3 linked regions of the Callithrix jacchus genome follow. The protein of the gene in region 3 purifies or fractionates together with the protein of the main gene of each other region. This does not show direct contact. Links are inferred from orthologs where the notes say so. Each region holds a gene or a part of one and is shown on either strand. Other genes may lie near its edges.

The links.
Region 1: the proteins of DYRK1B (region 3) and DCAF7 purify together in Homo sapiens (affinity purification with mass spectrometry; 10 studies listed by BioGRID and IntAct, counting the BioPlex papers as one, with this or other methods). This does not show direct contact. The link is inferred for Callithrix jacchus from reciprocal best matches to the Homo sapiens genes DYRK1B and DCAF7.
Region 2: the proteins of DYRK1B (region 3) and FAM117B purify together in Homo sapiens (affinity purification with mass spectrometry; 3 studies listed by BioGRID and IntAct, counting the BioPlex papers as one, with this or other methods). This does not show direct contact. The link is inferred for Callithrix jacchus from reciprocal best matches to the Homo sapiens genes DYRK1B and FAM117B.

The regions. Positions count from the first base shown.
Region 1 is NC_133506.1:88,827,620-88,831,724, forward strand, and holds the start of DCAF7 (DDB1- and CUL4-associated factor 7), read left to right. Parts: upstream 1-1,187; 5' UTR 1,188-1,416; coding exon 1,417-1,554; intron 1,555-4,105. UniProt on the Homo sapiens protein: Involved in craniofacial development. Acts upstream of the EDN1 pathway and is required for formation of the upper jaw equivalent, the palatoquadrate. The activity required for EDN1 pathway function differs between the first and second arches.
Region 2 is NC_133507.1:123,777,791-123,781,980, reverse strand, and holds the start of FAM117B (protein FAM117B), read right to left. Parts: upstream 2,869-4,190; 5' UTR 2,859-2,868; coding exon 2,051-2,858; intron 1-2,050.
Region 3 is NC_133523.1:35,101,280-35,104,178, forward strand, and holds part of DYRK1B (dual specificity tyrosine-phosphorylation-regulated kinase 1B), read left to right. Parts: coding exon 1-151; intron 152-483; coding exon 484-631; intron 632-1,824; coding exon 1,825-2,111; intron 2,112-2,727; coding exon 2,728-2,874; intron 2,875-2,899.

The sequences.
Region 1 (4,105 bases), on a different chromosome or scaffold from region 3:
GGCTCAATCCTGTAATCCCAGCACTTTGAGATGCTGATGTGGGAGGACCGCTTGAGCCCAGGAGTTCGAGACCAGCCTGGGCAACATGGAGAGATCTCATCTCTACAAATAGTAATTTAAAAATAGCTAGTTGTGGGGGCGAACGTCTGTGGTTCTAGCTACTCTAGAGGCTAAAGTCGGAATCGTTTGAGCCTAGGCTGTGAAGGATACAGCCCTTATCCCACCAGTGCACTCCAGCCTGGGTGACAGGGCGAGACCCTGTCTTTAAAATATATATATATATATTTAATGTCCCACAATTCGATACAAACCTCCTTCAATTTTGATGAAAGCTAAGAATTGGAAACCATTTATAAAGGTTACTTGGTCTCAGGCCCTTCTCCCTCTCAAACACATAAGCACAGATACCTTTGGGGCTGGATTAGCATTTGCGTTGGGATCCACGGCGGGGAGGTAACAGGATAGGAACCAACAAAAACATAACCAAGCTGGTCTCGTTGATGCCTACCCTAGAATTCGGGGACATTCCTAGATCCTACAGGAAAGCGCCGGAGCGCCTGACTCAAGCTGGCCTGACCCTTGGCGCATCTGCACGCCCGAAGCCTGTCCCTGGGGCACGAAGAGAGCAGCTTTCGGGTTAAAGGGGCCGCGGGACCAGAGGGAGCGGGAAGGTGGTTCCCGCTGGGCACTGACCAGACTGCCAGGCCGCGGGGCTAGGTCCCGCAACATTCAGAAGAACTGTACTAAGGCAGAACTGTACTTTTACTCGACAGCGTGGAGAGGCCGCTTAGAACAGCGGCAGCAGAGGGGAAGTCGGCTCAGGTCACAGATGGCTTCACTCTCGGAGACTTGGCCTAGAACTTGGAGGCCCGCCGCCCCCGCGCACGCTCGCTTCAGGTCACCCACTCCCCACCGCAGACCCTGCGCCGTTATCTGCCTGACTGACAGCCTGGCCAGCCAATGACCTTTGGGGCTGCCAAAGCCCCTGCCTCCAAGAGTTAGGCGGGGCGAGTAGGTGCAATGACAAACATTTAACCCAATAGCGAAGAGCTTTTAGACGCTACGGCCGCAACAACCAATGAGAAGAAAGAACCCTTTCGAAAGGACGTGTGAGGCAACCAACTGCTGGTGCCGCTGCGGGGGTCCTGTGGCTTCCGTTCCGAGAGGGCGGGGCGGCGTCCCAAAACGGAAGGTGGTTGTCGTCTGTGCCCAAGCTGGTTTGAAACTAGGGGTCGGGCTCGGCCGTCGTCGTTGTTTGTTGTCGCAGCTCCGCTTCCGGGGGTAGGCCGTTCCTGACCGCCTCCTCCGCTACTCCCTTTGGACCCATCGGTCTCAGGCCCGGCTCCCCGCCCGACTCGTACCCCGCACGCCGCAGCCCGCTGTTGACCCGGCCCGCACTGCTGCCCTGCAGCCACCATGTCCCTGCACGGCAAACGGAAGGAGATCTACAAGTATGAAGCGCCCTGGACTGTCTACGCGATGAACTGGAGTGTGCGGCCCGATAAGCGCTTTCGCTTGGCTCTGGGCAGCTTCGTGGAGGAGTACAACAACAAGGTGGGCCGGGCAGGGGCTCGGAACCCAGCTGGCGGGGAGCGGGCCCCGGGAGCGCCCTTTCCGGGCCGGAGCCCAGGCCCCAGAACCCTCTTACGGACTTGCCTTAGAGGCACGGAGCGGTTCCTCTGTCTCGCCCAGTGTTGAAGGTTTCGTATTCGTTGTCTGTCATGTAATCCAGACAGCATTTTTGTGTAGTCGACAGTGTAGTGGGGCAGCTGAGGTACGGTTTTGTAACTTGCCTGGGTCACGCAGCTATTTCGTGGTGGAAACAGGTCTAAACCCACGCCGTTTATTCCTCCCGTGCCCTCCACTCCTGCAGCATTGCTTTCGTTGGTGGGCGGGGAAGGAAAGAGGCAGTGATAGCTGTGAAGGAAAATGCAGGCGCTTCCATTGATGGTCGTGCACTCGTGGCCACACTACATTTCTATTAAGGCGATTTATTGTACAGGCTTCCCCGCCCCTTACTCCCACCCCCCGGTACTCATGTATCCTAGCCCTTCTGCCAAAATTACTGTTGTCCTTGATTCCTGATACGCATTCTCTCTAAAGCAATCTCTTTGGAAATCTTGGCCTGTGGCATGATCCCGCCATTGTTTCCTGAACAGAGAAGGATGACAGGGCCTTATCTCTTGGTTTGTTTCATGCTAGTACAGTTGTGTAACTTGTAGTAGTAAGTCTTGCTGGACATCCATCAATTTGAGAATGCTTTATAGAAGCATGGTGTAGAGGGGAGCTTTTAAACTGGCATTGCAATGTTATTTTTGAAAGTTGAATAAGTGGCAAGAATTTTCTTTCCTTTCTGTCTTCCTTTTATTCAGTTACAGTTGTGAATGATAGCGATCAGAGCCACTGAAAGCCGTGACTAGTGATACTTAAAGCTACTACTCCTGCTCTGTGCCATGAACATCAGATTTAAGAAGAATGAAACCGTGTTCAGTGACAAGGCTGATGCAGGGGGAAAAAAGCCAGGTGGTCTAGGAGCGGGTCCCATCTGGTTATTGACTAGCTGTGAGGTGTTGCACAGGCCTGTTTTATTATCTGTGACCCACAGTTTGCTGTAGGAAAGGGATTCTGGTTTACATGTGAAGGTCTTGTAAAAAAAAAAATTTGAACATTTTACAGTTTGTTTACAGTTTTTCAGGAGCACATTTGTGTCTCGGAGTAGGTCGTCTTTGGAGTCCCCTTTGAGAAGCTGATGAAAGCGATGGACTCTCACTGTCTGTACATTACACATACATGAACAATTTACAAACAAATCCCAAGGAATATGCACTGATCTTTAAATCCACCCACTTTATTTGCTATCTCTGATGCTTCTTTCTTCCTTATGGCCCATAGTGGACAGCAGAACTGGGAATGGGATTCAAGGTTCTGATGTGGACACCGGGTTAGTAAAAGTAAGACCACTAGAACTATTGTTTAAGGATACACGTGGAAAATAAAAAAGCACGTCTTTTAAAGGGCTTGAGTCTTTTCACACAAATTAATGTTTTTTTCTTGTAAGTTTTTCCAGGGTCATTGGGTAAACAATAGTCCCATTTCCCAGAGAGGAGAAACTGAGCCACAGTTAGGCTGCTGGTAGAATCAGTGGATTAATTGGTGTCAAACTGCCATTGCGGGAACTCTACCCCAAAGTTTGTCCTTTCATTTAGCAACTATCTGAAGCTTTCTCTTTGCGCCAGGCACACAGGTAGCGTGGCTTAGTAGTGAAATGCAAACTAATAATGCCAGTATCAACAGCATAAGCAATTAACTGTATCTTAACTCAAATGATATAGCCAATGGTCATCTGATACCAATAGACCCCTTCTCACAGTTCTATTTTCAAATGCATGAAACACATAGAGTTACAAAAGAAACCACTTACATTGCGCTACAGATGTAAACGTTTTTTAAAAGTGGCGATGTAGTCATATGTACTTTTAATAAATTAACTCATTGATTTATACCGTCCAGTGTAATTGTTAACATAATTTTGAAGTGGTGACAAGGGTTACCAGGTTTTCAAGATGTTGAACAATGGCTCCGTGATGGGGAAAAAATATTTCTCTTGCTGGCAAAGTCACAGGTACTCATGCCACTGTGAGTAGCTAACCCTATTTGTAATTGAAACAAAAAATTTTAGCTAGAGGTTAATGGAAATATGAGTGTACTTCTCCAATTCAAGTTCACAGACCCCAAGTTAAGAAACCCTGCGAGAGAGGATTGTGTCTAGTGGCTGGTGAGCAGCAAATCCTGCCTTAAAGCAGTGATTCTCAGGCTAAGTTTGTGAGAAACCCTGCCAGAGAGGTAGCCGACTTCATAATTTGAAGGAACTTTAGAATTATTGGTTGGAATTTTTAGACCATCGGTTCCTGCTTGCCATGGATAGTGATTGCCAGCAGAGGACGAAGTAAATGGGCACAGCAAATTAACATTGATGAAAAAGGCTAGAAATGGTCATCTTTTTAGTGTGGAGACATTCACTAAGAAAACATGGTTATAATTTTTAAAATTTGGTATTAACATAATCATGTTTTCCTAATGTAAAATTGTTCCTAGTTGATTAACA
Region 2 (4,190 bases), on a different chromosome or scaffold from region 3:
CTCTATAGGATGATCTGGTGAAGGGGAGCTTTCAAAAAATGAAGAGTGGGCACAAGAGTAGCCTCAGATCCCAGGAAACAGAGCCCTCCTAGAGATCAGAGGGAAAGAGTACCTTCCACCACAAGTTGCTAATACTTGACCCAGTTCTCAGCGTGTTTCTCCCAATATCAAACAGTTGTTAAGAGAGCCACATTCTGTCACCAGGCTGCGGGTTGTGCCTCCTTCTGTCACCTCTAGTGCTCACTTATAAGCAGCTCTCTTTCCCTTCCACCTAATGTACTATGCTGGCTCCAGAAGGCTGAAGGACTGAAGCAGTTTTGTTCATTAGATGTCTAAGTACATCTTAACTAAGTACATGTAATTTTGGCGTGCTATACATTTCCCAGGTTCTATCTTACACATCATGATGTCACTTTCTTCATATAATATAAAAACATCGTCTTTGGAGTACAACTGACCAGAGTTCAAATAAATATTAACTCTGCCACTTGTTAACCTCTTTAAAAGCTACAGTGAGGGTTAAATGAGATTCTGCATAAAAACCACCTGCCATATAGTACTTGTTCAGTAGGTGACAGAGGTTATGAAGCCGGAAGAGGAAGTCTAGTACTTTTATCACAGTTTTAGAAAAGGATTCTGCATTCTCGAAAGGTTCAAAACTGCTCTAGGTCAGGAGCAGTGGCTCACACCTGTAATCCCAGAATTTTGGGAGGCCGAGGCGGGAGGACCACCTGAAGTCAGGAGTTCCAGATCAGCCTGGCCAACATGGTGAAACCCCAACTCTACTAAAAGCACAAAAATTAGCCGTCCATGGTGGTGGTCACCTGTAATCCCAGCTACTCGGGAGGCTGAGGCTGGAGAAGCGTTTGAACCCGGGAGGCAGAGGTTGCAATGAGCATAACTGCACTCCAGCCTGGTGACAAAGACTCTGCCTCAAAAAAAAAAAGAAAATACTATTCATCATTTTCCAGGGCAATTCTCTCCAAAATAGTATTATTTAAAACCTTTCATAAAATAAATAGAGTCATCCTACTATTTCCATTTCGGAAACTATTTCAACTGAATTCGTTTCCTCAAATTTCCAACCATTCTGCCTGGAAGATTCTAACAGGAGTTCCCCAGACAGGGAAAGACAAAGATATATGTTGACAAAAATGAATATATAACTAAAAACCACCCCTTTCTTTTCTCAAGGCAACAAGATGGTAAATGTTATCCCTTTCCATTTCACCCAATCTGAATTTCTCTTTTGAGTTACTCTTTATGAATGACTGCATGGGCACTCAATAGCTCCATTCAGGATTTTTCCCAAGAAAGCTTCCAGGAAAACAGAAAAACAACGAATGTTAGCTCCCTAAAACAATAACAAGATGGAGACAAACACTGGATTCTGTTTTTCTACGTTCAAAACAAAAAATCAGTACACAAAATCAGAAATACACCCAGAGCCTCAGACAAAACCCATAAACCTTCCTAAGAAATCTTGCTTAATTCTCACTTCTTGCTACCCATTTATCAAGTCTTGGGAAATGCTCAAACACGGGTCTCAGCCTCGTCTGTTCAGTGATTCAAACCTGCCACTGCTAATGCATTCAGGACCCCAGATCTGAGACTGTTTTGTGAACAGAAATATATAGAAGCAGCAGACATGGGTTATGTCAAAATTAACCTTGTCCCTCAAACAAAATGACAAACCACTACTAGCCTCACTCTCGATGGAGGGTGAGCAGTAATGAGCGAAAGGCCAGGACGCCAGGTTTATCATTAACACTCATCAGCCCAAGCCCAAGGTTTAGCGTCTGCAACTCTACCGCCGGGGAGCCGCGCGGGGCGGACGAAGGGATGAATGAGGCGGGCAAACGGGGCACCAGGCAGGCCCGGGAAAGGTGGGGCCACACTGCCCGGTCCCCACCGCTCGGCACCGCCCCCAGCCCCGCCCCCAGCCACCCAGGCTCAGCGGCAGCGCTGCAGTCCCCGCGCGATGGCAGCGCGCGCCCGGGACCCCTTCCCGCCGCCGCCTCCCCCAGGCTGCGCGACACCCAGCACTTACCTGCTTTGCAAACCGGGGCGCTGGGGCTCCTCTTCTCCGGCGAACTTCGGCTCTGCTCCGGAGACCTCCTCCGATGCCGGACGCGGGCTGGGGGTGGGGCCGCGCTCACCTCGCTGGTCCACAGGTGGGTGGGCGACGAGCTGGGCGACGACACGGTACCAAGCAACGGCGGCGGCGGCGGCGGCCGTGGGGGGCTCCCGCGAGCGCCGGGCGCAGCGCCGCGCGTGGGGCTGGTGCCTCGCGTGGACGTCGCGGACGCGCCCGTCTGCGTGGCCACCGTGGGGCTGGTGCGCGCGGCCACGTTCCCGCCGCCGCGCGTGGGGCTGGTGCTGCGCGAGGCGGTGCGCGGGCCGCCGCCGCTGCCGCCGCCTGCGGGGCCTGAGGCGCCACCACAGCAACCACCGTTGTTGTTGCCGCCGCTGCCGCCGCCGCCGCTCCGCGTGGGGCTGCCATGTTGCTGCTGCTGCTGCTGCTGCTGCTGCTTCAGCTGGAACGGAACCGTCGCCCTCATGGGCTGCAAGCGGCTCCCGGGTCCCCCGGCCGTGGCGACCGCACCACCCCCAAGGGAGCCGGCCGGCGTGGGGGACCCATTGCGCCTCACCCGCTGGGACATGGTCCCCCCCTCCCCGGTGACTGGGCGAGACGGGGGGTTTTGTTGTTGTTGGGCTGCAGGGGTAGGATTCTCGAGGCCGCTGGGCAGGCCCCCGCGACGGGGTGACGAAGCTGGACTCCGAGGTGCGGGGGGCGACTGGGCCGGGGCCCAGACCGGCAGCAACGAGGTGGTGCAGCCGCCGCCGCGGCTCCTCATCAACAATAGTGTCTCCTCGGCTGCCCCCGCCCCCCGCGAGCAACCATTGGTGCAGCGTCAGCCGCGCTCGAGCCGCTCCACGACTCCCATTGGCTGCGAGCAGCTCGGGTCCCGGGCCCCGGAGGCCTTGAGAGCCTGGGTGTGCGCGGAGACGGTCTGCTCTTTAAAGAGAAAGAGACCCGCCCCCCGCGGGGAGGGAGCAGAGGAAACGGGCCGTGTGTGTATGTGTAGTGTGCGCGCGTGTGTGTGTACACGTGAGTGCCCGTGTACGCGCGCGCCTAGACACGCGCGCCTTTCCCTTCCCGCTGTGGGGAGCCCTGGGGACTCAGACTCTGGAAGGTTGACAAAGGGAATGTCCAGACCCGGAGGAGTCCGCAGGGATAATCTGAAGGCTTTTCCGAGTAACTCATTTCCTTACCCCAGTATTCACTGTGTAGTCACATGTACGGGCCTCTCCTTCGGGCTTTTATTCTTAATCTTTTTGTTCTGCCCTAATTCTACCTATGGGTAGGGCTCAAAAGGAGAAGAAATTTAATCTTACTGGCATTTTACACCCATCTTCTTATTTTTTAAAGCTCTAGGAAGAGGCAAATCTCAGAAAGATTAAACTTGCCTGTTAGAATGCGATTTTAGATAGTATCTATAGAGTTCAGTTACCACGTTATTTCTACCCTCCTGTATCTCAAGTAATCAAGACTTTATTTTAATCAGCTGCTTCACTGTTCCCTGATACTTTGGAAATATGGCTGCTACCTTACCAGTTTGTAAAGTGCTATAGTTTACAGATGGCCTTATTTGATTCTTATGATCATTGTTTGAGACAGAACTGGGTCAGCCATCCATATTTTTGTCTAGTGTAGGAAACAAGTCTTTGTTGTGGCAAAGACTCAGGAAGGCAGGCAGTGACACTAGTACTAAAATGACCTAAAGTGCTCATCAAGACAAAAAAAAAATGGTGGACCCAAAACCTGCACTCCCACCTCTCTGGCTATAAATTGCCTACTCATGACGTCTTTTTCCTCTACTGTTTTTATTAGTTGTACATGCTAGACAGATTTCGTCGTGTAAAACTGTGAGAGTGGAGGGCACAGTATGATTCTCTGGACGTGAAATCCTACTGGGTCCCTGTGCGCAGTGGTGGAAGGCTTTTAAAAACCCAGAGAGGAAATTCAAATCCCACGTCCGGCCACTTACTCTGTGACCTTGGGTAGGTCACTAGCCAGTCTCCTTATCTGTAAAATGCAGTTAAACAATACCATGTGCTTCATACTGTTGTTATGATTATTAACTAAGGATTATATAAGAATGTGGTGTGTAGAAGGTGGTCAGCAC
Region 3 (2,899 bases):
GCCACCCCAGGATTCCAGCACCAAGAAGGAGAAGAAGGTCCTGAACCATGGTTATGATGACGACAACCATGACTACATTGTGCGCAGTGGCGAGCGCTGGCTGGAGCGCTACGAGATTGACTCGCTCATTGGCAAAGGCTCCTTTGGCCAGGTGTGGGACACCCCCCTCCCACCCTGATCCTGGGCCCCACTAACGTCGACCACACACCCAAGGGTTCAGTGGCTTCAAGTCGTCCCATGCTGGGCCGCTCACCTGTGCCTCAGCTGCCTTTTCTGTAAAATAGTTCAAATAACAAGGTGCAACATAAGGTGGTTACGTTATTTCACGTCCAGTGTTTACACCAGTGCCTGACTAATGGTGCGCACTCAACTGTGAAGTATTCATAGTGTTACCAGTGTGTCTCCTTGCCTGGAGGGAGAAGAATGGTGCTTGGCTCTGTCCTGCCCCCACCCCTTCCTTTGTGACACGCCCTTCCCCAACAGGTGGTGAAAGCTTATGACCATCAGACCCAGGAACTCGTGGCTATCAAGATCATCAAGAACAAAAAGGCCTTTCTGAACCAGGCCCAGATTGAGCTGCGGCTGCTGGAGCTGATGAACCAGCATGACACGGAGATGAAGTACTACATAGGTGAGGCCTGGGCACCTGGGATAGCGGAAGCTGGAGCTGGTAGGGATGGGTCACCCTCCTGGCCCACCCTCAGGAGGAAGCTGGTGTCTTCAGAGCAGGGTTTGGTCTGTGCTTCACTGACATCAGTGATTCTCCTGCTGCTTTGATCATTGTTGTCCTATTTACTTGCTCATGATCAGAGGTTACTGAGTGCTCACCAAGGGCCAGGCTCTCTTAGAAGCACTTTATGTAAGTTAACTCACCACAGCCCATAAGGGGAAAGGCATTATTGCCCACATCTTGAAGGTAAGAAACCTGGGCTTCCATTCTAGTTCTTAAATTAAAAAAAAAAAAAAAAAATGGCAGGTGCAGTGCCTCATGCCTGTAATCCCAACACTTTGGGAGGCCAAGGTAGGAGGACCACGAGGTCAAGAGATCAAGAACATCCTGATCAACATGGTGGAACCCTGTCTCTACTAAAAATACAAAACCATTAGCTGGGCGTGGTGGTGTGCCCTTGTAGTCCCAGCTACTTGGGAGGCTGAGGCAGGGGAATTGCTTGAACCTGGGAGGTGGAAGTTGCAGTGAGCTGATATCACACCACTGCACTCCAGGCCTGGCGAAAGTGCGGGACTCTGTCTCAAAAAAAAAGTGAAGAAAGAAAAAAAGGAACCCAGGCATTCAAGTGCTATCACTTGCATGAGGTGGCAGTTTGTACTCATTGAGCTGTATGATTTAATGAGGCCGTGGACTCCAGAGCTGTTACTCTTAACATCTATCTATGCCAGTCTTTTCTCTTAAACTGATTTCCTCCTCGTGGACATAAACATCACATAGCATAATCATAAGCAGCAAGTAGATTTTAAAATTGTTTTGTTTGAAAGGAAAACATACATTCTTAAAGTAAATGGAAAACCAATCTCCTTTGCCACAAAAATGAATACAACCGAGATGAGAGCAGTGTTAGGAAACGAAACGAGGAAGTGTAGCGAAACTCTCTTTGGTAATTGGAAGGTTTCATAGAGACTTGGAAAGAGAACTAACTTCCTTTGTGAATCTAGTTGTTAGATAAAGAGATCGTGACTGGCAGATGGTACCCATGGGCACAGCACAATGTGGCTGGTCCTCTAAGAACATCATGTGACCCCAGGCCACCACCTGCCCTCTCTGAGCCGTTTCTTCTCTGTTGACCCATTTCCTCCCTTCCCTCACAGTGCACCTGAAGCGGCACTTCATGTTCCGGAACCACCTGTGCCTGGTGTTTGAGCTGCTGTCCTACAACCTGTACGACCTCCTGCGCAACACCCACTTCCGTGGCGTCTCGCTGAACCTAACTCGGAAGCTGGCGCAGCAGCTCTGTACGGCCCTGCTCTTTCTGGCCACGCCTGAGCTCAGCATCATTCATTGCGACCTCAAGCCTGAAAACATCTTGCTCTGCAACCCCAAGCGCAGTGCCATCAAGATCGTGGACTTTGGCAGCTCCTGCCAGCTTGGCCAGAGGGTATGGGTTGGCCCTGTCCTGGGGGCAGGGCTTGTGATTTGGGTGGGGCAGGGCCAGTGGGGAGGCTTAGGGGCGGGGCTAGGCTGGGATGGGATTATTAGGAGCTGCTGGAAGTAGGATAGTGCTTGGGGTGGGGGTGGGGGTATACTGCCAGCTACGATGGGAAGAGTGAAGCCTGAGGGGACAGGGCCCATTTTGAAGCTGCCAGATGTGAGCAGGGTGAAGTTGGGTTGGGTTAGAGCCAGGGGGGCTGCTTGGATAAGTTTTTGTATCCTGTGTTCTTAAAGCTGGGGATGGAGGTGGAAGGCTTCAACTTTGCAGCTCCATGTGAGCTGCTGATGAAAGGGCTTATGGAATGTCAGCCTTTGCCTGGTGATCCAGAAGGGCCCAGGGTCAGGGTTGGGGGTGGAGATCAAGGTCTGTCTAGGCCAGCAGACTCCCCAGGCTGGTAAAGAAGATTGGCTCCCAGAAAATTGGTGCTCACAATGGCAGGATTTGGAGCCTCAGTCCCCAGTTTGGCAGCAAGAGGCCTATCCTCTGTTGGGTCCTCAGCTTTGGGGATGTCAGTGGGACCAGTAAGGGAGGCTGGGACCCTTGACGATTGCCCTTTCCCCAGATCTACCAGTATATCCAGAGCCGCTTCTACCGCTCGCCTGAGGTGCTCCTGGGCACACCCTACGACCTGGCCATTGACATGTGGTCCCTGGGCTGCATCCTTGTGGAAATGCACACCGGAGAGCCCCTCTTCAGTGGCTCCAATGAGGTGTGCACCCAGGAAGGGGTGTGCT